Linked DNA regions of Mus musculus. The protein of the gene in region 6 interacts with the protein of the main gene of each other region in a biochemical or structural test. Links are inferred from orthologs where the notes say so. Each region holds a gene or a part of one and is shown on either strand. Other genes may lie near its edges. The genes, in order: Mapk14, Lin9, Abl1, Prdm2, Brf1, Rb1 and Ccnd2.

Region 1 (3,500 bases), on a different chromosome or scaffold from region 6:
CAAATAGGACAGGACTCAGCGGGCGTGTCAGCAGAGGGACCCACAGTCTGTTTAGTACATAAGCAAATGTGAGAACCAGATACCTCTGAATACAGGTGGCCGTGTACACTCACCAAGGATTTTCAGGAATAGACTAAACTCATTAATAAAGGGACTTGCTGCAAAAATATGACAGGTGAGTTCTAAGCTTGTTTTCTCAACCCCAAAGCCTTTTCTTGGCAAGGTGAGCAACTCAACAAGAGGACAGACCTCAAAAGCCACGCTGGAACTGCAAAGAACTGAGTCTTCCCCACCAATGAGTTAGGGAAGCACACATCTACCACAGCACACACATGAGAAACAGGGCCAAAACGTGTTAAAGGATACGGTCTGTACCAGGAAACAACGTTCTTCCGGTCAACAGCTCAGCCATGATGCAGCCCACGGACCAAATATCCACTGGAACAGTAAAGAGGATACAAGCACCGACATGGTTTCTATTCATATTCATGGACACAAATGACTCTAACTATGAGTGAGAGATTCAAGTCAGGATTTAAGACACCCAAGGTTTGACAATCTTTTTTATATAGAAACAAACTTATTAAAATTGTCACTCAAGAAAAGACTCCACAGGTCGTGCAACTCAGAATATAATTAAGATAAAAGAAATAAGCAACTCACAAAGGGGCAAAACTTTGTTACTGGTAAATGGTGAATCCTCCCAGGAAACATAGGTGTTAGGATTAAGAGACCACTCCCCTCAGGTAGTGTCACAGAAAGAATGACACGGAAGACGTAAGAAGTAAGGCCCCAGCTGCTAAGTCACCTGAAAGCCATGTTAGGGAGCACCCCTTCCCCATCTGGGGAGGCGACTGAAGCAGTCAGTACCTGTCTGGTTATAGTGCATCCAATTCAGCATGATCTCTGGGGCTCGGTACCACCTGGTAGCCACGTAGCCTGTCATCTCATCATCAGTGTGCCGAGCCAGCCCAAAATCCAGAATCTAAGGGCAAGAGCAGAAGTCAGGCATGGGAGCAGCAAGTTCTGCTACCTCACAACCAGGAAAGCAGAAAAGTCACTTTCAGAAAGAGGGCACCCCAGTTTTCACTTAGAATGCATGACATGATAAAACACTCCAAGAAACTTTAAAAATAAAGCTTCAAGCAAAGCAACCCCCCCCCCCATTTACTCAAGGATAAAAACATATGCCCACACGGGTGTGCACAGGAATGTTCACAATAGGTTTATATTCCGAACCACAAGTGCTCACTAATAGGACAGCAGCGTACAAACTTTGGTGTGCTTATGAAAAGGAAACTGCTGAACAACTGGGAATGCTGGAGCACACAATACAGATGAGCACACAATTCAGTAATGTGCATGACCCTCGACAGTTCCATTTATACGAAACAAGATTAATCCAGAGTCAGAATTGGGTCAGTGGCTGCCTGCATTGAATGAAGGGTGAGAGTCATGGGTCACTAGGAGGGGACACTCAAACCTTTTGAAACTATGGAGGTTACTATGTCATCACTGTGGTTACATGGACATTACAACTCTACTGTAGTCTCTCCTCCCCCAGCCTGAAACCTGCTTGCTCAGGGGTGGAGCTTCCCGCTCATCTGTTCTGTCACGCCCACTGCTAGAACCTGCGGAGCCACACACGTGCACCTTTTTACTGGACCAGAGATTATTTGGCGGAAATCGGGTCCCCTCCCCCTTCTTTTATAACTAGTGTCCCAACAATAAAATTTGAGCTTTGATCAGAATGAATTTATCTTGGCTCCGTTTCTTCTTTCGCCCCGTCTAGATTCCTCTCTTACAGCTCGAGTAGCCTTCTCAGTCGAACCGTTCATGTTGCGAGCTGCTGGCGGCCGCAACACTCTACAAAGAAGTACATTTCTTTTCCTTTTCCATTTCATGTACATGGGTGTTTTGCCTGCATGGATATCTGTGCACCAAGTCTGTGCAGTGTCCACAGAGACGAAGAGTGGGCATCAGATGCTCTAGATGCAGATGGCTGTGAGCAGCCATGTAGCTGCTGGGAAATGAGCCATCTCTCTAGCCCCCTGCAGACATTTCAAAAAATTCATTGCTGGGCAGTGGTGGCGCACGCCTTTAATCCCAGCACTTGGGAGGCAGAGGCAGGTGGATTTCTGAGGCCAGCCTGGTCTACAGAGTGAGTTCTAGGACAGTCAGGGATACACAGAGAACTGCTGCCTTGAAAAACCCAAATCCAAAATAAATAAATAAATAAATAAATAAATAAATAAATAAATAAATAAATAAATAAATAAAATCATAAAAAAGCATAGTGCTACTTCCTTTTTTTCTTTTTCTTTTTTATTAGATATTTTCTTCATTTACATTTCAAATGCTATCCCGAAAGTTCCCTATATCCTCCCCCTGCCCTGCTCCACAACCCACCCACTCCCGCTTCCTGGCCCTGGCATTCCCCTGTACTGGGGCATAGAATCTTCGAAAGACCAGGGGCCTCTCCTCCCACTGATGGCTGACTAGGCCATCCTCTGCTACATATGCAGCTAGCGACACAAGCTCTGGGGGGTACTGGTTAGTACATATTGTTGTTCCTCTTATAGGGTTGCTGACCTCTTTAGCTCCTTGGGCAGCTACTTACTTTTTTTTTTTTTTTTTGTATGCTGCTTTATTGTATGCTACAGCCAGTGTATATAAAATAGTTAAACCTTGTGAGACAGAAACCCATGGAATTCAGAGAGGTAGATGTTAAGGACTGACGAGCAGAAGATAGTGTATTATGGCACGTGTTAAAGAGAAGCTTTTGTACAGACTTCAAACTTAGCTCTCTTGAATAGTCACTGGTTCATGAAAAGTGGTTTGAGAAACCTCAAGATAGATGACTACAAAAAGGAGCAGACTTTCTGGGGTCTGAAGGGATTTGTACTTGAAGACCCTCCAGTCAGCAGAGGGTCATGTTGAGCATTCTGCAGACAGAACTGCTTCAAGCCTGCAGCTGCCAGGGAAACCTTCACGCGGTTCAGCCCGGCCTCCAGCCGGAGCTGCTGAACCACCTTCTTCATGGCGGCAACGCTAGAAGAACCCAACATGGCGCTCGGGACAGCAGGGCTGACTCGTCAGTCTGGGCAGGGGGCAGCCTCTACTTACTTTTTAAAGACTTAATTTTAATTTACTTAGGTTTTATTTAGATCATTCTGAGATCTGCAATTTTTCCTTTTAGGAACCTATCTAATTATCAGTGTTCCAGGAAGGCTTAACTGACATTTAGACTATAATATCCCTTTATTACAATTAATGTGTTGCATTTCTAATTTAATTATCTTTTAAAAATGAAAACAAGATACCGACATCTACTTCCAAAGTTACTTAAACAGCTTGTTCAGCCTAGTTCAAGTCTCACAGTCTGATATTCCTAAGGACAAATGACTTTTTAGATAGCAAGTCGTGGCTTAAGTGTGGTTGGTCACGATTCTGGGGAACACTTAAGAGAAGCAAACAGTCCATCTCTTCTTTCTTACCTT
Region 2 (4,077 bases), on a different chromosome or scaffold from region 6:
ACTAGTCTTTCCCCTCACCTCTCGAAAGGTGGATTTTCCATCCTGCCCCTCCCTCCACCCCAGATTCAGCGGTACTCCCTACTGTCTATAAACTGGAGGCTGTAGCAGCAAACAGCTGGCTGCAAGGAGCCATTATAAGTTCTTTCCACTCATTAAGCAAGAGTGGAATTTTTGCCTGCATTTTACTGAGGAGAAGTTGAAGCACAAGTATTAAGCTTGCCTGGGACTGATACAAGTAGCAGCCCAAGTTGCACCCTTAACTTTCACAGCCTGCTGCCCTTTTCCTGAGCCTGAAGTCTTCCACTCTATTGCTCGCCCAAGAGTCTCATCTTGTCTTTCTCCAACCTGTGCCTCACATTCTTGAATGTGTTCTAGAAAAGAAATGAAAGCCTGCCCTTCGTACTACTTAAGACCTCGCTTTATTCTTTTTACCAAGCCCAACTTAGCCTGGGCTGGCCTGTCTAGATCTGCTCTCACCTCACTGAACCATCTTTAAACTTTTTAGTTTGTGGAAGTCACTCATCCACTCGTTTTTGTTTTGTTTTAAATTCTCCATTCGCCGACTACCCCCTCCTCATAAATCCCTGGAGAATAGACCCACCCCGGAGATCAACCACGCTTGTAAAAATAGTAGTTGAAAAGCCACCGTGGTTTAAATACTAGAAAGTGTTACAGATGGGAACCGTGAAATCTTTCCCGGCTTCTTTCAGCAAGGGAGGAATCCCCATCCAGTTTCATTACACTTGGCTAGTGTCACTTGTGTCTTCCCCAAGCATCCTTAGTCACTGTGAGGCTCCCAGCTCACTACCGGTCTCGGGTGGAGCGCATTAGAGAAAGAAAGCAGGACAGTTCACTAGCCCTCGGCCTACACCAACTTGGTGACCTCTCAAGGTCTCGTCCCGGCCGCTCGCAGCTCAGGTTCCGGCCCGGGCCGCCCGGACCCCGCGTCCGTGACCTGCAGGCGAAGCGGACGCCGCGGCCCGGGCACTCGGTGGGGGGGAAGGGCAGGGGCCGGGGCGCCGGAGAAACGCGATCTGGGGAGCCGAGTCCACGTTACTTTGGGCAGAGCCCCCTCCGTGCCAAGCGACCAGGAACCCAGGTCTCGTCCGCCGCGCCACCGGCCCGGGCCTGCGTCCCGCTCCCCTCGGGAACCGGCCTGCAGTTCCCGCAGCCGCAGCGCGGGCCGCGCGCCGGGAGCGAGCGCAGGCGAGGGGGGCGGCGCGGGCGGGCGCATCGGTGCTGGCGCCGCGCCCCCCGCGCTCGGCCCTACCGGGCCTCTCGGCGAGGCGTCCCCTGTCCTCCTCCGGGCCCGGCCCGGGGTGCGGGCGAGGCCCCGAGGCCCCCTCCCGCCGGGCTCGGGCGGAGCCGGACGGCCTGGCGGGAGCAGGCGCCGCGGGCCGCGAGCTCCTCATTCGAACCTCCCTCGCAGACAGTCTCCGCCCCACAATGCACCGGGGCGGGCAGCCTTTGAAAAAGCGGCGCGGCTCGTTCAAGATGGCGGAGCTCGACCAGTTGCCTGACGAGAGTAAGTAGCGTCTCAGAGCAGCCCTCCTTCCCGCCGGTTGCCCGTCCCGGGGTCGCACCGGCCGAGTCCGGTTGCCGGGCAGGTGGGATGGCCGCCAGCCCACCGCAGTCCCCGGCCTTCCTCCTCAGGCGCTGCCGCCGCGTCGCCGCCTTTGTTATGGTGTCTTGTGTGTCTGTTTCTGGGGTTGTGCGAGCGCCAGCGCCGGAAACCGAAAGCCCGGGAGTCCAGCCTGTCCTGACGGAGTCGGCGGCTGCTCTCCCGGAGCGACTGCTGTCGCCGGCCGGGGTGGGCGAAGAGCGGCCCCCCAGTTGCGGGCGCCGTCCTCCTCGCCCGCCCGGTTATGTAACTCGCCGGCCGGGGGCCGGGAGGGCTCGGGCTGGGCACCGGGGACACAGCCCCTCTTGGTGCCCCGGGCCTCCGATCTGATCCTCTGACGGCTCCTGCTTCTGCAGGCACTTGTGATCGCTCCCCCCGACCCCCCGCGTCCATCCTGGAAGTGTTTTCTTCCGTGTCACACAGGCTTGGCCCCTTCCCCTGGGACTACAGGTGGCCCTGGACCTTTCCGGAGATGATCCAGCCGGGATACAGTGCCGAGGTAGCCCCATTCCCAGTCTCCCTCCTGAGTGGATGTGTCTCTAGACTGTGGGGTGGGCATTACACACGGATGTGAGCACCGCAGCCCATATAAGTATGTTATTCTGCCTGACACCCACCCCTGTTCACTGCCTCACTTCTCCTTCTATACTCACAACCTCTGAGACGGATGTTCACCTGTCCGCAGACAGTAAAGCCAGCTACTCTGCGACCTAAGGACAAGGGAACAATTTTGTAATTTTCATATTGCACACATTATTAAAAGGCATTTTAGTTACAAAATGGTCTTGAAGCAACACGTACTCTGTGGTGTGTATTTGTAGCCCTTGGTCAACGAAAGGTTCGCAGGTGTGGTGGCGCACATCTTTAATCTCAGCACTCGGTAGGAAGAGGCAGGTGGATCTCCGAGTTCGAGGCCCACCCAGTCTACATACCAAGCTCCAGGACAGCCAAGGCTACACAGAGAAATCCTGTCTTGGAAAACAAACAAACAAACAAACCTCCAAACTGAGCAATCTGTATTTAGAACGATTGTATCATTTTTATGACAAATAAAGTAGTGGTTTTGTTTTTTAACCATTTGGTGTGCCCCAACAGGAAGTCAGGTCAGAGAAACCCGTTTCAAAAGCAAAGAAAAAACTCGAACTCTGTAAGATGTATCTGTGGGCAACGCAAATATGCCTTTAAAAGAGAGATAACTCTTAATTCTGTTTTCTTTGATATCGTGTATTTCTTATATTGTTAAGTCAGAAGTTCAGGTTGCCAGTATTCAGAATGTTTGTGTTTTAATTTTGATTTAGACCAGTGCTAAGTCTCAAAAGAACGTTCTCGATGGTGGATGGAGATGTCACTTTTCTAGTGTGCAGTGAGCAACCGGTAGTCACCTGTGACTAGATGGCTCAGGTGCTGCTCTTTTATTTCTATTTAATCTTGACTTATATTTAAATAGCTAGTGATTACTGTATTGATAAGGCATTATCTATAGAATATCCCTAAGTTTATCGTTCTTGTTTGGAGAATATGGTTGATTGATATTTACGATGCTTGAAAATATAGATAATTCAAGTAAGTAGAATGTTACCTGCCATCTGAAGAGATTTTTTTTCTTAAGCTGGGCACCGTGACGTGTGTTAACCTAACACATGTGAGCTAAGACAAAAGGCTAACTCTTAAGTTGGAGGCCAGCCTGGGCTGTACTGTAAAATGTTTCATCATCTGTAATGGGTACGCTCTGTGACTTCTCAGGGCTGTCTCACCTGCAGTCACACGGTTGTTGGTCAGCAGCCCACCAGAGCTGAGCCACTTAGGCTTTTCCTCATGCCTGTGGTGATGGTTAATTTTGATAGCTTGATTGCATTGAGAAATACCTAGGAGATCAGCAAAGCACACCTCTAGATGTGTCTGTGAGCATACCTTTAGGAGAAGGATTTTCTTACTTGTTCTTTGTACAAACTTAGGGTTTACATTGAGGTTCAGATATTAGCTACACTGTTACACTATGTATAACCTAATTGTTGATACTACCATGCAATGTCTCTGGGACTTGGGGAAGGGTGTGTGTGTGTCTTTTTTTAGCTAAACTACCGGTTTGTCAAAAGCAAGAATTGTAATTTTGATTTGTTAGCAATGACACAAATAGACTTAAAAATTTGACTAAAATGGAACTGAATTTGGAGTAATATTACTAATAAGATGGAGCATGATCTTGGAAAGAGAAAGTAATTTCAGTGTGATTTGAAAAAACACTAATTTTTTTGTATTTTTCCCCCCAGTTTAGTTAAGGGAGCTATGTAGTATATTAGCTAATAGCTCCTGTAACATCAATTATAAAAGTTATCATTTCCTGAGTATTTACTGTAACTAGGTGTATAAAAAAAGAAATACACATGCATGTACTCACGCACGCCTGCACTCACTCACGCACAGTCCCGTTTGCTTTCCGTACATTTGATCTTCAT
Region 3 (3,500 bases), on a different chromosome or scaffold from region 6:
CGGGACTAAATGCTTCAAGGCCTGGGCCAGTGGAGCAGCTAATCCCTGGGGAAAGAAGTGTTTCATTTCTGAGCCACTTCGGATTTAGTTGAATATTAAATGAAATTCGTAAAAGGCCTTCTTCCTGATAGTCTTGGTTCCCTCTGAAACCGAGCATTCCTGAGGCCAGCACTCACTCGGTAAAGCCTCTCTCTGCCTGGGCTTAGCTTCATTGTGTGGCTTTTCCTCCTTTTCTTTGTGTTTCCTTGCCTACCAGCTGTCACCGGGTTTAGGGATGTTTCCATGGCTGGAGAATTATATACATGCAAGCCGGTTGCTGTTTTTAAAACCCAGAGTGTTTTGACCTTCAAGTGTGCCACAATTATCTGGGTTTGCATGCTTTGCTGGTGGAAGTGGCTTCCTAGCAGAGTGACAACCTGTGCAGGAGGGAGCCTGATGGGCTTGGCCCAACTCCGTCATGCAAGATGTTCTCCACGCCACTGTGGTGACCTTTCCTACCCAATTAACTCAAGTGTGAAACCTCAACATGAGATTTCATAGCCAGGAATAAGTAGCGTGTATGAAATGCTGGCAGCCCCTCGGAAGACAGATCTTTTTCTGCTCCACGAGAGCCCAATCCAAATGCTCCTGTCGCTCAGCAAAGTGTAGCCTCTGATGCTGCAAATTGAGATTTCCTGACTTCTGGCTCGCCTTGCATGGCCAGCTCCGTTCCCCCTCCATTCACATACTAAAAATGCCTTACCAAAAATCCTATTAGGCACAACTCTTGTGTGTTTAATTTTTCTCTCATTGCTGGTGATCAAGCTGTATCACGCAGTCGTTGCCCTGAGCTGCCTCATACTCTCATTCCTTGGTTCCCAGTTACCTCAGGACTTCATGGTTAACAGCCATGAACCAAAGATTAGACCCTTCCTCCCGTGAAGATTCAGGAGGTGATTATATGGGAGAGTTTCTCAAACACTTGAGTCAACATCAGGAAGCAAGAAGAAAGTAGGGATATCACATACAGCTGCCCAAGGCACACCCTGTTACTGTCGTCATTTTATATGTGAGGTAATTAACAACTCCAGGTCATGGGACAGGACCTGCCCCCATTGCCACCCTGTCTGCTTGTGGTGTTGCTGCTGTAGCCCGACTGGTATTTGCTGAGGAACTGTTGCTCCACAGCAGGGTATTTGAAAGCTTCTGGGGACTACACTTGGTCTTCTTTTGTCAGCGTCATACCTGTCAATAGTAGGGGAGCTACACACCTAGGGAGTCAGCCAGGAGCACCCACAGATGACCCTTTTTCTTCCTCAGAGACCTTGCTGCCCGGAACTGCCTGGTAGGGGAAAACCACTTGGTGAAGGTGGCTGATTTTGGCCTGAGCAGGTTGATGACAGGGGACACCTACACGGCCCATGCTGGAGCCAAATTCCCCATCAAATGGACCGCACCTGAGAGCCTGGCCTACAACAAGTTCTCCATCAAGTCGGACGTGTGGGGTAAGGTCCAGGTCCTGGGCAGTCATGGCCAGGGGCTTCCCCTTCTGCTTCGCAGGCTCTTTACTGCTATACCTCGTCTCTCCTCCACCACTATGCCCTCTTTCTGGTTCATTTCTGGCTTAGTTTAAACTCCTGCTTCCTCCTTTTTTTCTTTTTTTAAAGATTTATTTATTTATTTTATGTATGTGAGTACATTATACTGTACAGATGGTTGTGAGCCTTCATGTGATTGTTGGGAATTGGATTTTAGGACCTCTGCTTGCTCCAGTCGGCCCCACTTGCTCCAGTCAACTCTGCTCGCTCAGTCCCTGCTCACTCTGGGCCAAAGATTTATTTATTATTATACATAAGTACACTGTAGCAGTCTTCAGACGCACCAGAAGAGGGCGTCAGATTTCATTACAGGTGGTTGTGAGCCACCGTGTGGTTGCTGGGATTTCAAATCAGGTGCTGGGACTAAAGGTGTGCACCACAATGTCCATCTTTAAGAACTTCTCATGCCAAGGGTGACCAAAGAAGGTGGAGTTGAGTAGTGAGCCCTGTGCCCCGCCTACTCCCTTACCTCTTGTTATTTGAAAGCAAATCCCAAATATATTATTTTGTACATACACATTTCAGTATTTGCTTCACCTGGGAGCCAGATGTGGCTCCCTCACTACATTGATGTGTTCTGTATTTCCCTGCTGTTCATTTATTGATAAACTCTGTCACCATTCCTTTAGACTTTCCAGAATCTAGACTTTGTTCATTGTGTCTCTGTGCTGTGATCTGTTTTGTGCCTCTAGCTTCAGTCTTCTTAGAAGCTGCACAGTCAGACCCGGGTAGCTCCTGACACTTGAGCTGACTTTTCTTTCATTAAGTACATTAGCAGAGGCGGATGCTTTTAGGTTGGTCGATCCATAATGCTTGATTTTTCTCCCTCTAGTAGTACAGTGGTTATCAACCTCTGGGCCATGACCCCTTTGGCAACCTTTTATCTCCAAAAATATTTACATTATAATCCATAACAGCAAAATTACAGTTATGAAATAGCAATGAAAATAATTTTATGCTTAGGGTCACCACAACATTAGGAAGGTTGGGAAACCACTGCACCAGAGGGCTATGGTGTGGCAGCTGCTGGTGACGGTGGTGGCTCACTAGCAGCTCTGTCACGTGATCAGTCTCCACCTCCTTTCTTCCATACTCAGTTGGCCATGGAGCATAAATCTGTGTGCACCGGGCGGTGGTGGCGTACGCCTTTAATCCCAGCACTCGGGAGGCAGAGGCAGGCGGATTTCTGAGTTCCAGGACAGCCAGGGCTACACAGAGAAACCCTGTCTCGGAAAACCAAAAAAATCCCAAAAGAATGCCAAGACTTTGAGAGCTCACAAGATTTTTACAAACTGTTTAGAGCTGGAAGGGACTTTGGAGATAATCTCACCCACCTAGAAACAGCCCATGGCCTGACAGGCATGTTGCTACACAGTCACAGAGCTAGGATCAGAACATGGCAGCTGACTTACAGCCCTGAGAGACCCTGCGCCCCAGGAGGCTCACGCTGCCTCTCGCCCTTACACGCTGTAGTGTGCATGAGTAGATAGCTTTGCTTTGTCCTATCTTTCCTGGGCTATTGTCACAGAGAGCCTGGTAAATGTCATTGCTGGGACTGAGAGTACCTGTACATCCTGTGTGTGCGTGTGCGTGTGCGAGTGTGTGTGTGTGTGTGTGTGTGTGTGAGAGAGAGAGAGAGAGAGAGAGAGAGAGCATGTGTGTGAGTGTGCATGCTGTGTGTGTGCACATGTCTGTGTGTGAGAAAGTGGCTGTATTTGCGTGTGTGTGTGTGTGTGTGTGTGTGTGTGTGTGTGTGTGAGAGAGAGAGAGAGAGAGAGAGAGAGAGAGAGAGAGAGTGTGTGTATGTGCGTGTGTGTGTTACATGTGTTTGGGTGTTTTGGTGTGTGTGTGATATGTTTGTTTGTGTGTGAGCATGCTCTGGCATACGTAGGACTGTCAGAGGACGCTTCTCTCCTTCCACCT
Region 4 (3,962 bases), on a different chromosome or scaffold from region 6:
CATAAGCAAACATTTGAGGTTTTATTTCCTCTCTCCACGGGCTCTGTGGTGATCCAGACCTTGACAACACTTGACATTGTCCTCACCTGTCAACAGTACTGATGAGATAATCACCATGTCACCAATCCTTTACAGAGTATACCACAATCCACGTTGATTGACGTACTTTCTAAACAACAGGTACATTTGATGAGCTTGTCTGGTCTTTCCAAAGTTTTGGAGGCACATTTGAACATAATACATTATCTATTTTTCAGATCCTTTTCTCAGAGGACTAATACGGCCCACTACACTTAGATTTTTTTTTTTTTTCCTTTCTTCTCAGAGGATAGCTTTATCTTGAAGTACTCATGGCTCTGGGTACCATCTAGATGTGACAAGTAACTTTCATCTCTCTACAACTTCAGATTGATTGGCAACTATGTTCCCGTCAAACCTCTTTTCTGGGATGTCAGAAGTGGTCTCCAGTTCAATCCAATCCATCTCCAGCTCACTTGTTTGTAAATAGTGGTGCAGTTCCCAAGGGCAAGATGAAGGCCATGCTGGGTACCACAGAGCCTTGGCACTGACCTAGGCCCATAGCTGGCAGTTAGCAAATGCCTCCTGGTAAGGGATGAATACAGCCGCTCAGTTGCATCTGCTTTGCTGAAGTTTCGGGTTTGTGTGTGTGTGGCTATATTGGTCCTTTGCACACCATTTAAACGGTCTATTTGCCTGGCAGTGGTCTAGTGAGTGGCCTTCAGAGTGGATTCTGCTCTTGTTTTTCTTGAAACAAGGTCTAAGGGTGTGGTCCTGCCTTCCTGGAATTCACTATGTAGCTCTGGCTGCTTCTGCCTCGAGTTTGGGGATTAAAGTGTGCGCCACCACGCCAGTCAGTCGCGGTCGTCTGAAGTAGGGTGGCTTCTCTGACCAACTCTTGAGTTTCTCAGCCCTAACTCTATAGTGGTCAGGCTGGCCCGGCCATGGCGACGCGGGCTTCCCTTCGAGGTAATAACGCTCTGGGGCGAGCGGCGAGTCCGTGATTGACAGAGAGGGCGACACAGTCCGCCGGGGTCACGCCTGACCGTCGTGTTGAGCTCCTCGGGGTCGCAGGCCACGAGCTACGCGCGGGGTCGGGGTCGGGGTCGGGGGTTGTGGGCGCCGTGCCGACGTCACTTCCGGCCGGAGCCAAGATGGCGGCGGCGCGGCCGCGGGCGCCAGAGCGACGGCGGCGGCTGCGGCTCTGGGCTCGCTGAAGCGTTGGCACGTCGCGCTCTGGTGAGGAGCGGCGGAGCCGGGGAGGGCGGGCGGGCCTCGGGGGAATGTCCCTTGGTGTCAGTGAGGAGTGTGGCCACCGCGGCGGGGGCGACCGGGCCGGGCGCTAAGGGGATTGCGGGGCGGGCTGACGCGCCCCCTTCGAGCTTCCTCCGAACGGCCGGGAACCGGTGGCTGGCGCTGGCGCCGACGCGAGGCGGCGCGAAGGCTCCCGCTCCGCGGCTCTTAAGTCCCCGCGGCCAAGTTTCGGGTCCGTTTGGTGACGGCGCGGCGGACTCGGGGTGCGCGGCTGCGGGGTCGGCGGGGAGCGCACGTGGGCCCCGGGCGGTCCCCATCCGCAGGGCTGCGCTGATCTCTGCTCTTTTGTGTCCCGGGTTGAATGTGCGAGCGCATCTGCAATCCTCGAGTTGGTTCTGTGCCTCGAGCCTTTGTGTTTTTCACCCCCGTATAGTTTCCGTGTGCTATAAACCTGCCAGTGGGCTCCTCGAGTGTCCCCCATCGACCCACTGGTGCATACGTGCATGTGTCACAGGTGTGCGCTAGCATACATAGGACTGGTTTGCGTTCGTCAAAAGATCCATCTACTATGTCTCCGAGGGTGACGAGCGAGACACGAAATAGACCTTAACAGGTCAGTGTTCTTCCACGATCCACGCGTGAAGCACCGGCCAATGGCCTAGCACTTACCGTTAGGTCGGGCCTCGAGCTGGGGAAACAATCCCACAGATCGCCGGGAAGCCCCGTTGCCTCTTACTACCCAGCTGGAATTTACACCTAGAGAAATGGGGTTTCCCTTCACCCCCCGCATTTCATGTATTGAGGATTTGGGTGTATTTGACACGTGAACTGCCTTTTGCCAAGTTCCAGTGCCTTGCCCTTAGGACCCTTTAATGAAACACGGGAATGTTTGTTTCTAGTACACAGTGTCCCCAGAACATGACTAAAATTGTATCTCAAAGTTTTTTTGTTTACTTCGAGGTTATTCTTTAAAGTAATATATACAGCAAAGACAACCTCCCAATGGTTTTTTGTTTGTTTTTTGGTTTTTGTTTTTCTTTTACCTACAATAGCACAGACTACAGTTGGATCATTCTGCCCACGATGATATTGGAAAAGAGGTTTTAGGATATTAAGAGGAGGAACTGAGAGACATTATTCTGTTGTTTTCCTGTTCTATAGAGTTCTGTTTTTGAGATTGCACGCAGCTGCCACCCTCCAAGCTCTCTTTCACACACTTTATTTGATGAAATTTCTTTTTCATGAGCAATCTCGCCATAGCTTTGAAAACCTTCAGAGATCATTTAATAAGCCCCCTTTATTCCAAGCCATGGGAAGAGAGCTGTAAATCCATTGTTGGAAGCAACACTCAGCTGCATTTGGTGTTATTTCAGGGCTCGACCCTTCCCTGCCCCCCCCCCCCAAAAAAAAGCCGTCGATGCATTTACAAAGTTATTAGAACCAGGGACATAATGAGAATGCTCAATGAATGTTCGCTGTTTGTTGATGGAAGACTTGGCTTCGTTGAGGTTTGAGGTGGTTTGTTTTACATTTTCTATGCAGTGCTCGGGATAAGAAGGTGTAACTTTGTAATAATGTATTAGCTCTGTAAGCACAAAACAGCAAAACAGTCGCACTGGAAGACAGTTGGAAAACAGAGGCGCACAAAGAAGGAATAGAAACCGCCTGTAAACTTCCGCCTCCTCAGATAGCCATTGTTAACATTGTAGCAGATTGTCACTAGTCAGTCCCTCATGGTGTGCCTGCTTGTATTTCTTTATTCACATACATTCATTTATAGAAGCATGCACTTCTGTATAATAGTCTATAGAGAATTGATATGTTGTGTATATCGATGAGGCTTGTCTTTCATTATGCTGTTGTGTGTTTCTATGTCTTTAACTGTTCTTCAATTTGATGTTTAATGGCTGATATGTGGATGGGCCATCATTCATTAACCAATCCCACATTGATTTTCAAGGCTTCTAAAGTCTGACATTTCTTTTCATTAATTTTCGGAAGTTTTTTCTCTGTGATGAATTTAAAAATTCTGCAACTATTTAAGATGTGAAAACTGGAAAATCTGCTTTGGTAGTGTCTGATGATACATCTTTTTTTGTTTGTTTGTTTGTTTCAGCTACCTAAGAAGTAACCTCCCTGATTTCTCTGTGGTGTCTGTAGCTCACACATATCTGCACACAGTTCCTTTTGATGATTATTTTATACTGGCTATTTATTTATTAATGGGATTTTTTTTTCTTTTTTCAGAATGCTGATATCTTTTCAACTTTAGATCTGACTTAGACACCTTTCAGGGGTGTGTTAAATCACAGTCTCCAGGGTGGAGAGCACTGTGGAGTATTTGCTATTTTCATGTCTTCTGACTAGTTTCGTGTTAGTTTTAATATATGTAAAGGGGAAAAACCCAACAGCAAATATGCAGCTTTCACTAGCAAACTCCATAGTGGAAGTGTATGTGGGCCTTGAGGGGATACGTCAGACCTGCATGCAGAGAGCATCTGCAGGGAATGCTGCATGTCAGACCTGCATGCAGAGAGCATCTGCAGGGAATGCTGCATGTCAGACCTGCATGCAGAGAGCACCTGCAGAGAATCTTCAGGGAATGCTAGATGCAACCGGGACATCACCAGCTGAGCACCTGCTGAGCACTTCTGCTCCTGCTGACATGCATTTAGGGCTTCATAGTTTGA
Region 5 (3,500 bases), on a different chromosome or scaffold from region 6:
TCTGGGGCAACATGCATGTTGTTTGGAAGGAGAGGGCCAGGCCTACAACTCGATTCTGATGAGCTCTGCCATCCCACAACCTTGTCAAAAATGAGACATTGTGCATTTGACTCCTTACCCAAGACTCTTTTGTCTTTCAGCTGGAACAGGTCCTATCAAAAAAGCTAGAAGAAGTTGAAGGTAATTAACCGCTTCTCACACCCGTGCTTCCTTTTTGCTTGGACATCAGTGTGCTTACTTTTTGCTTTTAACGTCTTACTCTAGGTGAAATATCCAGTTACCAGGATGCCATTGAAATTGAGCTAGAAAACAGTCGACCAAAAGCAAAAGGGGCTCTGGCCAACTTGTCAAAGGATGGTGAGTTCCCCTGCCATTATGGGCCATGAGGGCCCTAGACCAGCACCCCTGACATTCCCTACTCACTGATCCATGACCCCATCCCTGGCTGCTTGTCACTCCCTACACTGGAGCACTAACTTGGGTATCATGTTACTGCTGGGACGCCTTCCCCCGCCTCACCGTTCACTGGCCGTAGAAGAGCTTCAACCTTGCATGTGCCGTACTGGGAGCCCTGCTGTCCACTCAGACTGTTGAAGATGCAAGGCCACGACTGTAGGGATGCTCTTTCTTATGCCCTGTGCTGTTTGCTGTGGGCTTTTCAGAGTTGCTGTAACCGTTTGTGTTGTTAGATGACTCTCCTCTGGGCTGTGCAGAATGAAAAAGCATGGGTGCCTGCTTCCTTCTTTGGCACCTGTTCTGGGGAAGCTACTCTGGGCATCTCTGCCCATCAGACTGGCACTGTGCTAACATCTTGAGACATGCCAAGCAAGTGTGAATGTCCTTTTTGGGATCCCTCAGTGTTTGCAGATGCTTGCTTATGTTCTGTGTCCACATTAGGATCACCTTGTCTACACCACTCCAGCCCAGTCTGCCTTACTTGTCAGCTTGGGGGAAGCTGTGGCACTTGTCTTTCTGTCCTTCTCTAGCTTCTGTTCTGTCCAGGCTTTGCTCCTGTGCAGTACCACGCTGCTGCCTTCCGTGGGGCTGTTGTGAGTAGCATCTTTCCCCCTTTGGTCCCCACAGCAACTTGCAGCTTGTGTCCTGACTGCTCCTGCGCAGTGTGAGCTCTCCTGCCACCTGTAGTAGTTGCAGTCATTTTGCCATTGAGTTTTCTAAGTATTTGATTCTGTCGTCTGCAAACAGTGACTCTGCTGCTCTTAATTTCTTCTTAAGTCTGCCTGACCCCGCAGCATCTTGGTGATCTTGGGACAGTAGTATATCCTCATGTTAGCTCCCATGGACTAGGGTGCACGTGCTGGGCACATTGTTCCCTCATCTGTCATGGTGAGTCAACGCCCACCCATGCATTGCTGTCAAGAGGGGTTTTTTTTTGCTTGCGTTTTTTTAATCTCTGTGGATATGAGGGTTTGAGAGGGCCATGGTATCTGTGGAGATCCTGTGATGGGTGAATATGACCCAGTGTCCTGACTGTCACACCATTGGGTTCTCCCTCATTCCTGAAGGCATCATTTGGGCCTCAATAGCTGCCCTACTCATTCCTATCCAGGGTTTGGTTCTGTCTGTTTGCAGAGTTGTTTGCCACTTGTGGTTTCTCTGTGTAGTGGTTTTCTCTTGTCCTAGCTTATTGATGATTGGGCGAGCATCCTGTACATGCCCAGTCTGCTGCCTTGTGTTTACCAGGCCTCACTTCTGCCAGGCTTCATCCTTCCAATCTTATTCCACCTTCCAGGCCTCCTGCCTGCCTTCTCTGTTCTCAGTCTGCTGGCTGCGTGCATTTGGGGCAGTGAACTTCCTGTGAGATCTGTCCTGTTGGCGGTTTTTTAGTCTCCAGATATTTCCTCTCTTGCACATGTGAGGGAGCTATGGAAGTTCTGGGGCTGTGTTGTGAGCTGGTTACTAACTGCTGTGGTGCCGTGCAGTGACCAGGACCTGTTACTGATTTGTTCCTCCTCGGTATTTCTTGGGCACACAATATCATCCATGGACACTGCAGAGGGGCACCTTGTGTTATGGGCACAGAGGTGAGGCTGTCCCACTGTCAGTTTTGATAGATATTGAGAACCTGTCACATAGTGGCTCCTTCAGAGTTTGGTCGCCCCTTACTTCCTCCAGTGGCCCCTCATACACATACAAGGCCATTGCCTTGTTATGATTTCCAAGGCTCATCTTCCACAGGAGGCACTTTGCCACCCTCATGCCTGAAGCCCTTGGGGCACACGTAGACCCAGGTGTTACTAAGTCTCTGTCCTTCTCTTTCACTTTATGTTCACCTGGGAGACTTCTCCAATACAACAGACACCATGTTTCGTGTCTTGATCCGATCTGAAGCATCCTTCTTCCTTTAGTGGTCTGAAGCAAGCTTGTCTACTTACTAAGCCTTTTTAGTAGAGTTCTCTTGGTCTTAGCTGTCTGTGCTAATGTCCTTTGTGTAGTTTCCTCTTTTTCTTGAACTTTATCTGTGTCCCTCTTCCACACATCATGGCTTTGGAGCACAGCAGAAAACAACTAGCTGGATATTCTAGGTCCACTTCTACAGCTGGGGACAGAGATGTGCCTTTCAGATCAAACACTAGAAGGCACTGTGTGCACGCTGCAGGCTGTATGGAGACAGAGCTAAAGCACCTTTGGCTTCTGAGTGTTGACTGTGGACAACCCTGGTGTCAGGTGAGGCCAGCACCACAGTCACTGTGTTCTGCCACTGAGATTTGTCCCTGCCACTATCTTTGTGTCCTTTGTAATGGCATCCACCTGTTCTCCCCACTTCAGGCTGCCACTGGCTGCTTTCTGTCACTGAATTCGTGGTCTTTTATATACTTTTGTGCAGAAATCTTTTGTAGACATAGTGTGTTCCCTTGCCTTTCCTTGGCATGATTTTTATGCAGTTCATTGGCAGCATGACCCTCTGTATTGGGTAGGTGTTGTTAGTGCGGTGAGGAGTGTGGCACTCCTGTTAAGTGCATCTGCATCAGTCCCAGGTAGCCCTATGTACGGGCTCATCCCATACTTACTTCCTTGGTACTGGGCAGATGGAATTGTTGGGTCTGGTGGAGGTGGTGTTGGCAAATAGTCTGAACAGCACTGTCAGCATTTATGCAGCCAGCCCCCCTGTTTTCTCTCCTTCCTTTCTGTTTTTCTGTGTCTAGACTGTCCTTTCAGACATTACCTGTAAATAAACTATGGCTCACCTTTGTCTTACAATGTCTTTCACAGGGCAGGCTTGTAATTCTCTTGTAAAAAAATCATGATTCTTTCAAAAATCTATTTATCTGTGTTTTATGGGTTGTGTTTTAGTGTTGTTGAGGTATTTTGCCTAACCCTAGATCACAAACATTTTATTTGTCTTTCCTGAATATTCTTAGACTCTCAGATACCACATTTAAGCCAGTTTTGCACAGAGCATGAGGAATAAGCCAGGTTATTCTTGCACGTGGATAACCGGCACCATTTGCATCAGGACTGTACTTTCTCTGCTGCAGAAA
Region 6 (4,227 bases):
GATGACCGGTCACCAGCTCTGTTACGCGTCTGAGGACCCAAGTTCCTTTGCCATTCTGTCTCAAACTTAAGAGTAGCTTGCCACAAATACCAAGGTGGCATCAATTGGCCAAGTGTCACATTCTCTGATAATTATGAGGCAGGACTGTATCATTTCTGTATATTATTTGATCAGGCTCCCACAGTCTATCTTTTATCTTCACCAAACCTAGACTGTATGTAGCCTGAGCTCTTGCCTAAATCTGGGACAAAGTGAACTCAAGTGCTATTTTAATTCCATTCATTCTCCGTGGCTGCATCAGGGCCTGGGGCTCTACCTCCTGACAAACATTTGGTCTCTAGAAGGCTTCTGAAGTTAGGCAAGTCTGAAAATTGAAGGAGGCCCATGTATCCTTCACTCATCTGACATCAAGGCAGAAAATAAGCCCAGGCTTGCAACCTACCCAATTAAGTTCTCGATTCCTCAGTCCTTGCTCAGCTGTTCCAAGATAGTTTACACCAGAACAACAACTGTATTTTATTCACAGCACTTCAATTAGTGAGTTGTATGAATAAGGACTGACAAAGGGAGAAAATTATGTTGACTGACAGGTAAAACGTAACTAGAAAAGCTACCATTGCTGAGCCAGCTTTTGGTGGCGGTAGGTAGTTCTAGTATAAAGTATGCTCTTTTCCGGTGTCTGTGCGTCGGCGACATGGTCAGACAAATATTACTTGGGTTCGAGTCCTCTGCCAGGGACCTGCTATGTGACGCGGGCAAATTGGCTCCCCGAACTCCCCACTTCCAACCCGCAAAAGTGGAATGCCGACCTTCCCAGTTTGACCGGCTGTCTCGGAGAAACCATTATGAAAGGAGGCCGGATCGTGCGCATGAACACGGCCAACTGGTTTTCTGCTTTCGTCTCAAACGCGTTTGTAAGCGATTTTTCAAAGTCGGGTCCGCCTGGCAAACTGGTTTTCAAAAGCTACTTTCCCGCTAAGATCTGTCCCGCTCGGACCGCGCCTCCTGTTTCCCCATCAAAAGACTATAGTCTGTGCGTGCATCGCCCATCTTCCCTTGTCTCCAGAAGGCCACCAATGGCCCCACCCTGGACCGCCCACCCGGGCCGAGCCCACCTCCCACTGGCCCGGCACGTTTGTTTTTGTTTTGCCGGCCGCGCGGGCCGGGCGAGGGGCGCGCCCTGTCCAGCGTTCTCCCAGAGGCCGCGGCTCCTCGCAGCGGGCCGGCCCCGCCTCGGCTGGCGCCGCCCACGGGGACGACGCGGGCGGAGACAGGCCCGGGCAGGCGCGGCTTCCCCGCGGCTTCCCGCCCGCGCCCTCGCCCTCGCCCTCGCCCTTGCCCGCCGCCGCCGCCACCGCCGCCCCGGTTCCCCACTGACGCCCGCGGCCCGCGAGCCTCGCGGACGTGACGCCGCGGGCGGAAGTGACGTTTTCCCGCGGTTGGCCCGGGCGCTCGGTTGCCGGGCGCGTCCGGTTTTCCTCGGGGGACGTTCCCATTATTTTTGTAACGGGAGTCGGGTGAGGACGGGGCGTGCCCGGCGTGCGCGCGCGCCCGCCCGCCTCCCCGCGCGCCTCCCTCGGCTGCTCGCGCCGGCCCGCGCTGCGCGTCATGCCGCCCAAAGCCCCGCGCAGAGCCGCGGCCGCCGAGCCCCCGCCACCGCCGCCGCCGCCGCCTCGGGAGGACGACCCCGCGCAGGACAGCGGCCCCGAAGAGCTGCCCCTGGCCAGGTGAGGAGCGCGGCCGCCGCGGGCCGGAGAGAAGGGAAGGGAAGGGAGCGGGGACGCCGGGTGCATCCCGGCGGGGACGCCGGGCGGGCGCATCTCGGCGGGGCCGGGCTGGCGGTAGGAGCGGCGCCCCGGGTCTCCGGGGTCCCCTTGGTCCCCCATCTCTGCGGGGGTGGCGGCGGCGCGCTGACACGGTCCCGGGCTCGCGGGCGACGGGGAGGGCATCCCGAAGGGGTCTGGGCTGCGGCTTGACAGGTGTCGGGCGGGTGGGGCTCCTGCTCCCGAGCGAAGTGACAGGTGCAGGCTCTACTCCAGCGACGCCCAGGCGCGGAGCCGGCGGGTCCCGGAGAGCCCCGGTCAGATGCAAAAACAATTGAAATAAATATTTAAAAAAAGAAAAAAAAAACTCGACCGGTGTTTGTTTTCTTTCTTCCTCCCTTTTTTCTCCGTGGAGATCCGAAGCACCCCCGGGGTGGGTTGACTTTCTCTTTTGCAGTCGTCCTGCGATGCAACAGTTGGGAGCCTTGCCCTCTCTGAGCTTGCGCTGCATCGGCAGCTTGGTCCTGGGAGAGGCCAAGAAAAGCCTTGTAGGCAAAGCGCAGGGTCGTGGGTGTCAATTGCTCACGGGGTCCTCAGCTCCCGGGCTTTGTGGGGGTTTCTTTAGAACAATGCTTTGAGGCCCGGGGGGATTTAAAGCCATCTGTGGAGACTGATGGAGCAGAACTCTTAGAAGAACTGGTATGTGGGCAAAAGTTTCAGGAGACATTTAAATGCAAGGGCTTGGAAGTTTCTAAACTTTGTTCCCCTTTTTTTTCAGGGTAGAACTCTTCTTGCGTGCTGATTGGCCCGCAGCATGCTTCATTATTTCTTGCCTTTTGCCTTTGAGCATTCACGGATTCTGGTGCCTCCCCCTCCCTTTTTTCTTTTTTGGTCTTGTGTTTGGTACTGTGTTCTCTCAAAGAACTTTTCTCTCCATTTATTAAGTGGAATCTAAACTTAAGTTCATGTGGATCCAATAAGAACAACAGAGAGATATTTATTGTATTTCAACATTTTTTTTCTTGACTGTGCTACTGTGTGATTAAGTAACAGAAATTGAAACAATATGATTGTTGTTATTGTCAGCACTAGTTTTGAGAGTATAGATCCATTGTAGATGGGAGTTGTTTTTGTCTCTCACGGTCCTTCAATTTCTAGCCCATCATTAAGTTCTCGAGTTTTTGTTGTTGTTGTTGTTTTTGTTTTTTTGGGAGGGGGTGTTTTTGTTGTTTTTAATTACTCTGACTCTGTAACCCAGGCTTGCCTTAAGCTCTCTGTTTTACTGCCTCTGCCTCCCAAGTTCTGGGATTGTAGCCCTGATGGGCTATCAAGCTCCTTTCTTCTCATTGAGCATCAATCAAGGCTCTTTGTGAGACCCAGACTCTTAACAGAGTTCAGGTCAAATCCTAAGAGACTGAAATAATTTTGGAAATTGCTTGTCTAAGTCTATTAAAATTCATATTAGATGGATTTTCTTATGGACCAAATAAAAATCATGTTCTTAAAAAATAAATACAGAATAAAAACTGTTCCAGGGGAAGAGTTTGCTTTTGTTTCTAATTAAACTCTGATGTATCCAGTGTGTGGAAGCTTCACTTTAGAAAGAGCAGTAACATGTATTCTAAAAGATTCCATGCCATCTATGGACTTATTACTGATTATTGTAGAGTAACTGTACACATTGAAGTTCTGGTCATTGCCTGTGGGAAAGACAGACCCAGTTTCTTTCTCTTTTATGTACTTTTAACTTTGGAGAATTCTCAAAAAGTTCTCCTTTAAATTAAACTTTACAAGACATAGTCTCATCTTGGTTACTCATTGCCACTAAGGTTCTCAAAAAGCACTTACAGTTGATCTCTGACTTACCTATTGTCACGTGTGTTCACCATAGGGATTTGCTACCTCTTCTGAACTGCCATTAAATGAATGTTGTGTTATCATTGGAGAATACACTTAGACAAACACTGATGATATATAGATTAGTCACTGTGCTGTCTTGCTACAATCAAGAGAAGTGGTAAACACTACAGATACAAAGCTGCTGCCAGTATAACAAAACATGCTGCTATGCAGTAAACTTTATCTTTTAATTATAGAAATATGCTGAAAAATAATGATAAAGCTATAGTTTAGTAAACACACAAGCCAGTAACATAATGGCTTCAGGCATTGTATGTCCTTGTATATATGATTCTCTCCTACCAGTGGCAGCTTGCTTACAGCAGCATCTCCCTAACTGCACAAGTAGCAAATGGATTGTGCCACAATGTTATGCTGGTTAAGATGGGCTCTAAGTGATGTTTCTGCACCATTATAATCTTACAGGACTACTGTTGTAAACTGCCTTACTGAGTGACACATCATGTAGTGTATGCCTGTTCTTAGCAAGGATAAGAGGGCTGCCTCAGTCTGAAGCTTAGAAAATAGCTTAGGTATGGATTCAACCCGGTCCGTCTCCACTGAG
Region 7 (3,500 bases), on a different chromosome or scaffold from region 6:
TCTCTTTTACAGTGGTTTGCACACCTTGCACTGGTGAAAGAAGACCACCCCCTCTATCGACTCCCTCCCCCTTGCTGCCATTGCCTGGGCCTGCTTAATCTCCTGGGCAAAGACTGGCTTCTTGAACTGAGCCCTTTGTGAGGAGCCGTCCTTTCTGGGTCTGTGCTGCCACCTAGTGGCAGACATGTGCAAGGCTGGGGGAGGAATTGCCTAGAACGCAAAGAGGGGCCTGAATGACTTCACCTTTGAAACACTGCCAGATTTCAGCTGCTTCTGGTTTGGTGTAAGAGGCCCCTAAAGGTGCTTTCTTCTGGAAGATCTGCTTCTTTCAATAATGGTGCCAGAGGACGAGTTTGTGCTCACATTGCCCTGGAAGAAGGAAGGGTTTGGGATTCAAGCCATTTCTGATTTTTACGTAGTTAAGGAATTTTTTTTTTTTTATCCTAACTTCCTGCAAAAAACCCAGGCAGACTTGAAAGCTTGTGGGGAGGAAAAAAAAATAAGATTAGAATTGGAGGCCAGCTTGTCTATTCAAAAAGAAAAAAACAAAACAAAACAAAACATGAAAAAGAATCTTCTATGTGTCTGGTGTGCTGGAGGACTGGAGGTATTTTTCAAGACACCCTAATTTTTCCAGGACCGGCAAAGCTAACTCAATTCTCCAAATAAAGTGTGCCAGCTTCCCATCTCCTCCCATCCATAAGTTATGCACCCTAGAAGAACCTTCCTATTTTACACGTGAGGGGAGCTTGCTCCAGGAAACACCATAGCTGGTCCAGCTGACAGGGGCTTTATAGCCGGTCCCCAAGTTTAGCAGATGGAGCCAGGTGAACTGAAGAGTCAGTCACTGCCCGGCAGTAGTAGCATCCTGCGCTTTTGAATCCTACTGATTGACCAGGATCATTTCCTTTTGTTTGCACCCCCCCCCCCAACGAAACCAAAACAAACAAAAATTGGGACCTTTGCATAATTTCAAGCTAGCCTCAAACTTCTAGCCTTAAAGAGGTAGAATCCCAGACATGCACTTCCAGGTGTGCATCTCTTTGGGGTATTATTATATTTAGTCCAGTTCATTTGAACATTATTCCCCATGTTTATTTTACAAAAGGAGAGGCACAAAGTAGCCTACTAGTGGGGTGCAGTGGAGCCCCCTAAAAGAGACCGTTACAGCCCAGTACATGGGCTGACCCTGTTTAAGCACCTCCACATTGCCCCAAATCATAGTGTGCAAAATGGAGTCACAAGTGACCACCTCAGGCCCTTTAGCCATGAAGACAAAGGCCAGTGAAGATTTAGGTGAAAGGGTGAGTGTCATATCCCAAGACTTCTTCATGGTGTGTCAAAGGGGAAGGTGTTGGCAGCAGAGAGGGAAAATGATACTCTTCCCCCACAAGGAAAGGCCAGCGAACTGGCTGCCAAGGAGTTGGGCCAAGGAGGCTTCTGCTATTCTGCATCTGTAAGCATCATTTTTTTCCATGAGGAGTAAAGAGACTTAGCCAACAAATTCTCACCGCAGCACCACAGTGGCCTTAGCTAGATCTTACTATAGGCCCACCTTTCTGAGTGGGCAGGCAAGAACATTTTGTGGAGTCAGGGGTAGGGGTGAGGTAGGAAGAAAACTAGAGTAAAGGCTGGTCTTGGCAGTAGTTACCTGGCCTCTCATTATTTTCAGTGGAGCCTGACTTTTTTTTAGCCCAAGAAGAGCCAGGAGCAACTTCAAAGCATGAGGGGCACAGTGACAGATGAGGCTGCAGTGGAGCCTTAAGGAGCATCTTCAGAGCTGGCCGGGAACCCAGCCCCCAACCCGGGCCTGGAGTCAGTCTATGGATTCTTAGAGCTCTGCCCTCTTCCTCCCACCCTTTGCAGGAGTGGGAACTGGTAGTGTTGGGTAAGCTGAAGTGGAACCTGGCCGCAGTCACCCCTCACGACTTCATTGAGCACATCCTTCGCAAGCTGCCCCAGCAAAAGGAGAAGCTGTCCCTGATCCGCAAGCATGCGCAGACCTTCATCGCTCTGTGCGCTACCGGTGAGAGGGGGCTCACGGGGCTTCCACGGGGCCATGGGAGGTGGGGTTGGGTGTCTAGGCAAGTCTGAGTAAGCCAGCCTGGAGCCTCGCTCGTGCTTTCTCGGAACTAGAACATTTTCTCTCTCTGCTTCACTCGTAAGTTCTTTATGAGGGCAAGTATGGTAAGGGGAAGGGAGTCGGTGCCTGCTAAAATATTGTTTATGGTGTCTAAAGTGCCCTTTGAAGATTATAGATACTGCTCTCTGGTTGTGTTTAAATCTTTAATCTTTTGAGGAAAAGGACGGCTTGGAGATAAGCCCTAAAGGGAATTTAAGGAAGGTGGGGGCAAATATAGGTTAAAGGACCAACGACAAGATAAACATGGTGCCCGCCCTGATAAGGGGGAAGGAATTCCTTCACCGTGGAGCTGGTTTATTGCCTTCTTGCTGTTTCCTGTTGACAAGGGAGTGAACCTTTAAGCAAAGATCCGTTTATTCTGAGCTCTGGAGAGGATTTTTGATACATAGCTTTATTGGCTTCACACCTGGGTAGAAGACCCTAGCACAACATTTCTCAACCTGTGGGTCGATACATCCCACAGGGCTTACGTATCAGATATCCTGCATATCAGATATCCTGCATATCATATATCTACATAAGAAATCACAAATAGCAAAATTACAGTTACAAAGTAGCAACGGAATGGTTTTATGGTTGGGGGTCACCACGGTATGAGGAACTGTATTAACGGGTCACAGCGTTAGGAAGGTTGAGGTTGAGAAGCGCTGCCCTAGAACCTTGGGAATTCGGGGGCCAAGTGTCAAAAGTTCATCTCCTCAGGGTTAGCAGGTAAAGAAAGAATTGATCATGAGTGGGGTGCAGCTCAATTCATCCAGGGTTGTTGAAATGTGTTGATGTGATAGGGGGTGGGGGGAGGTGGAGTGTAACATTTTAATTCCTTGTAACATTTAATTATGTGTTTGTATAGCTGATGCTATAATGAACAATAGGGCCTGTGCTTTGTTGGAAGTTCAGAGGTCAGGCAGACTTCGTTACTTAGCACTGAGTGACCTCGCTCAGGCTGTTTGACCTCTCTGAAGTTCATCTGGGATCTGCAAAACAGGCCTTTGGATGTATCCTTCCCTAGCCTTGGTGGAGTGGGCAGGGAAACTGACCCACAGAAAAGCAAGCCTGGAGCTTCCTGCGAAAGTTCACTGATGTTGAGAATGGCTCCAGTTAAGGTGGATGCGGAAATGGATACAGCCTCTCACTGGCGTGCCGGATTCCATCTCCCTGTTTTAGAGGGGTGTGTGTGTGTGTGTGTGTGTGTGTGTGTGTGTGTGTGTGTGTGTCACGCACACGCGAGTGCGTGCACGCACTCAGTTTGCGTTGGTCCAGCAGCCCTCGGGGCCCTGCATCAGGCCTTGTAGCACACTTGTGGTGTCCCAGCTCCTTCGTGGAGTCCCCTGCTGTTCCTACAGTCAGGGAAGAGGAT

Evidence for each region.
Region 1: of the proteins of Rb1 (region 6) and Mapk14, one has a biochemical effect on the other in vitro, tested with the Homo sapiens proteins (3 studies listed by BioGRID and IntAct). The link is inferred for Mus musculus from reciprocal best matches to the Homo sapiens genes RB1 and MAPK14.
Region 2: the proteins of Rb1 (region 6) and Lin9 form a complex in vitro, tested with the Homo sapiens proteins (2 studies listed by BioGRID). The link is inferred for Mus musculus from reciprocal best matches to the Homo sapiens genes RB1 and LIN9.
Region 3: the proteins of Rb1 (region 6) and Abl1 form a complex in vitro, tested with the Homo sapiens proteins (3 studies listed by BioGRID). The link is inferred for Mus musculus from reciprocal best matches to the Homo sapiens genes RB1 and ABL1.
Region 4: the proteins of Rb1 (region 6) and Prdm2 form a complex in vitro, tested with the Homo sapiens proteins (2 studies listed by BioGRID, with this or other methods). The link is inferred for Mus musculus from reciprocal best matches to the Homo sapiens genes RB1 and PRDM2.
Region 5: the proteins of Rb1 (region 6) and Brf1 form a complex in vitro, tested with the Homo sapiens proteins (2 studies listed by BioGRID). The link is inferred for Mus musculus from reciprocal best matches to the Homo sapiens genes RB1 and BRF1.
Region 7: of the proteins of Rb1 (region 6) and Ccnd2, one has a biochemical effect on the other in vitro, tested with the Homo sapiens proteins (4 studies listed by BioGRID). The link is inferred for Mus musculus from reciprocal best matches to the Homo sapiens genes RB1 and CCND2.

What each region holds. Positions count from the first base shown.
Region 1 is NC_000083.6:28,725,842-28,729,341, reverse strand, and holds part of Mapk14 (mitogen-activated protein kinase 14), read right to left. Parts: coding exon 3,498-3,500; intron 3,117-3,497; exon of another isoform or gene 2,638-3,116; intron 986-2,637; coding exon 871-985; intron 439-870; coding exon 367-438; intron 1-366. UniProt on the Homo sapiens protein: Serine/threonine kinase which acts as an essential component of the MAP kinase signal transduction pathway.
Region 2 is NC_000067.6:180,639,873-180,643,949, forward strand, and holds the start of Lin9 (protein lin-9 homolog), read left to right. Parts: upstream 1-1,277; 5' UTR 1,278-1,446; coding exon 1,447-1,525; intron 1,526-1,977; exon of another isoform or gene 1,978-2,120; intron 2,121-4,077. UniProt on the Homo sapiens protein: Acts as a tumor suppressor. Inhibits DNA synthesis. Its ability to inhibit oncogenic transformation is mediated through its association with RB1. Plays a role in the expression of genes required for the G1/S transition.
Region 3 is NC_000068.7:31,790,939-31,794,438, forward strand, and holds part of Abl1 (tyrosine-protein kinase ABL1), read left to right. Parts: intron 1-1,299; coding exon 1,300-1,484; intron 1,485-3,500. UniProt on the Homo sapiens protein: Non-receptor tyrosine-protein kinase that plays a role in many key processes linked to cell growth and survival such as cytoskeleton remodeling in response to extracellular stimuli, cell motility and adhesion, receptor endocytosis, autophagy, DNA damage response and apoptosis.
Region 4 is NC_000070.6:143,209,910-143,213,871, reverse strand, and holds the start of Prdm2 (PR domain zinc finger protein 2), read left to right. Parts: upstream 1-1,162; 5' UTR 1,163-1,257; intron 1,258-3,962. UniProt on the Homo sapiens protein: S-adenosyl-L-methionine-dependent histone methyltransferase that specifically methylates 'Lys-9' of histone H3. May function as a DNA-binding transcription factor.
Region 5 is NC_000078.6:112,966,122-112,969,621, reverse strand, and holds part of Brf1 (transcription factor IIIB 90 kDa subunit), read left to right. Parts: intron 1-140; coding exon 141-180; intron 181-264; coding exon 265-357; intron 358-3,500.
Region 6 is NC_000080.6:73,323,023-73,327,249, reverse strand, and holds the start of Rb1 (retinoblastoma-associated protein), read left to right. Parts: upstream 1-1,427; 5' UTR 1,428-1,608; coding exon 1,609-1,727; intron 1,728-4,227. UniProt on the Homo sapiens protein: Tumor suppressor that is a key regulator of the G1/S transition of the cell cycle. The hypophosphorylated form binds transcription regulators of the E2F family, preventing transcription of E2F-responsive genes.
Region 7 is NC_000072.6:127,144,549-127,148,048, reverse strand, and holds part of Ccnd2 (G1/S-specific cyclin-D2), read left to right. Parts: intron 1-1,866; coding exon 1,867-2,026; intron 2,027-3,500. UniProt on the Homo sapiens protein: Regulatory component of the cyclin D2-CDK4 (DC) complex that phosphorylates and inhibits members of the retinoblastoma (RB) protein family including RB1 and regulates the cell-cycle during G(1)/S transition.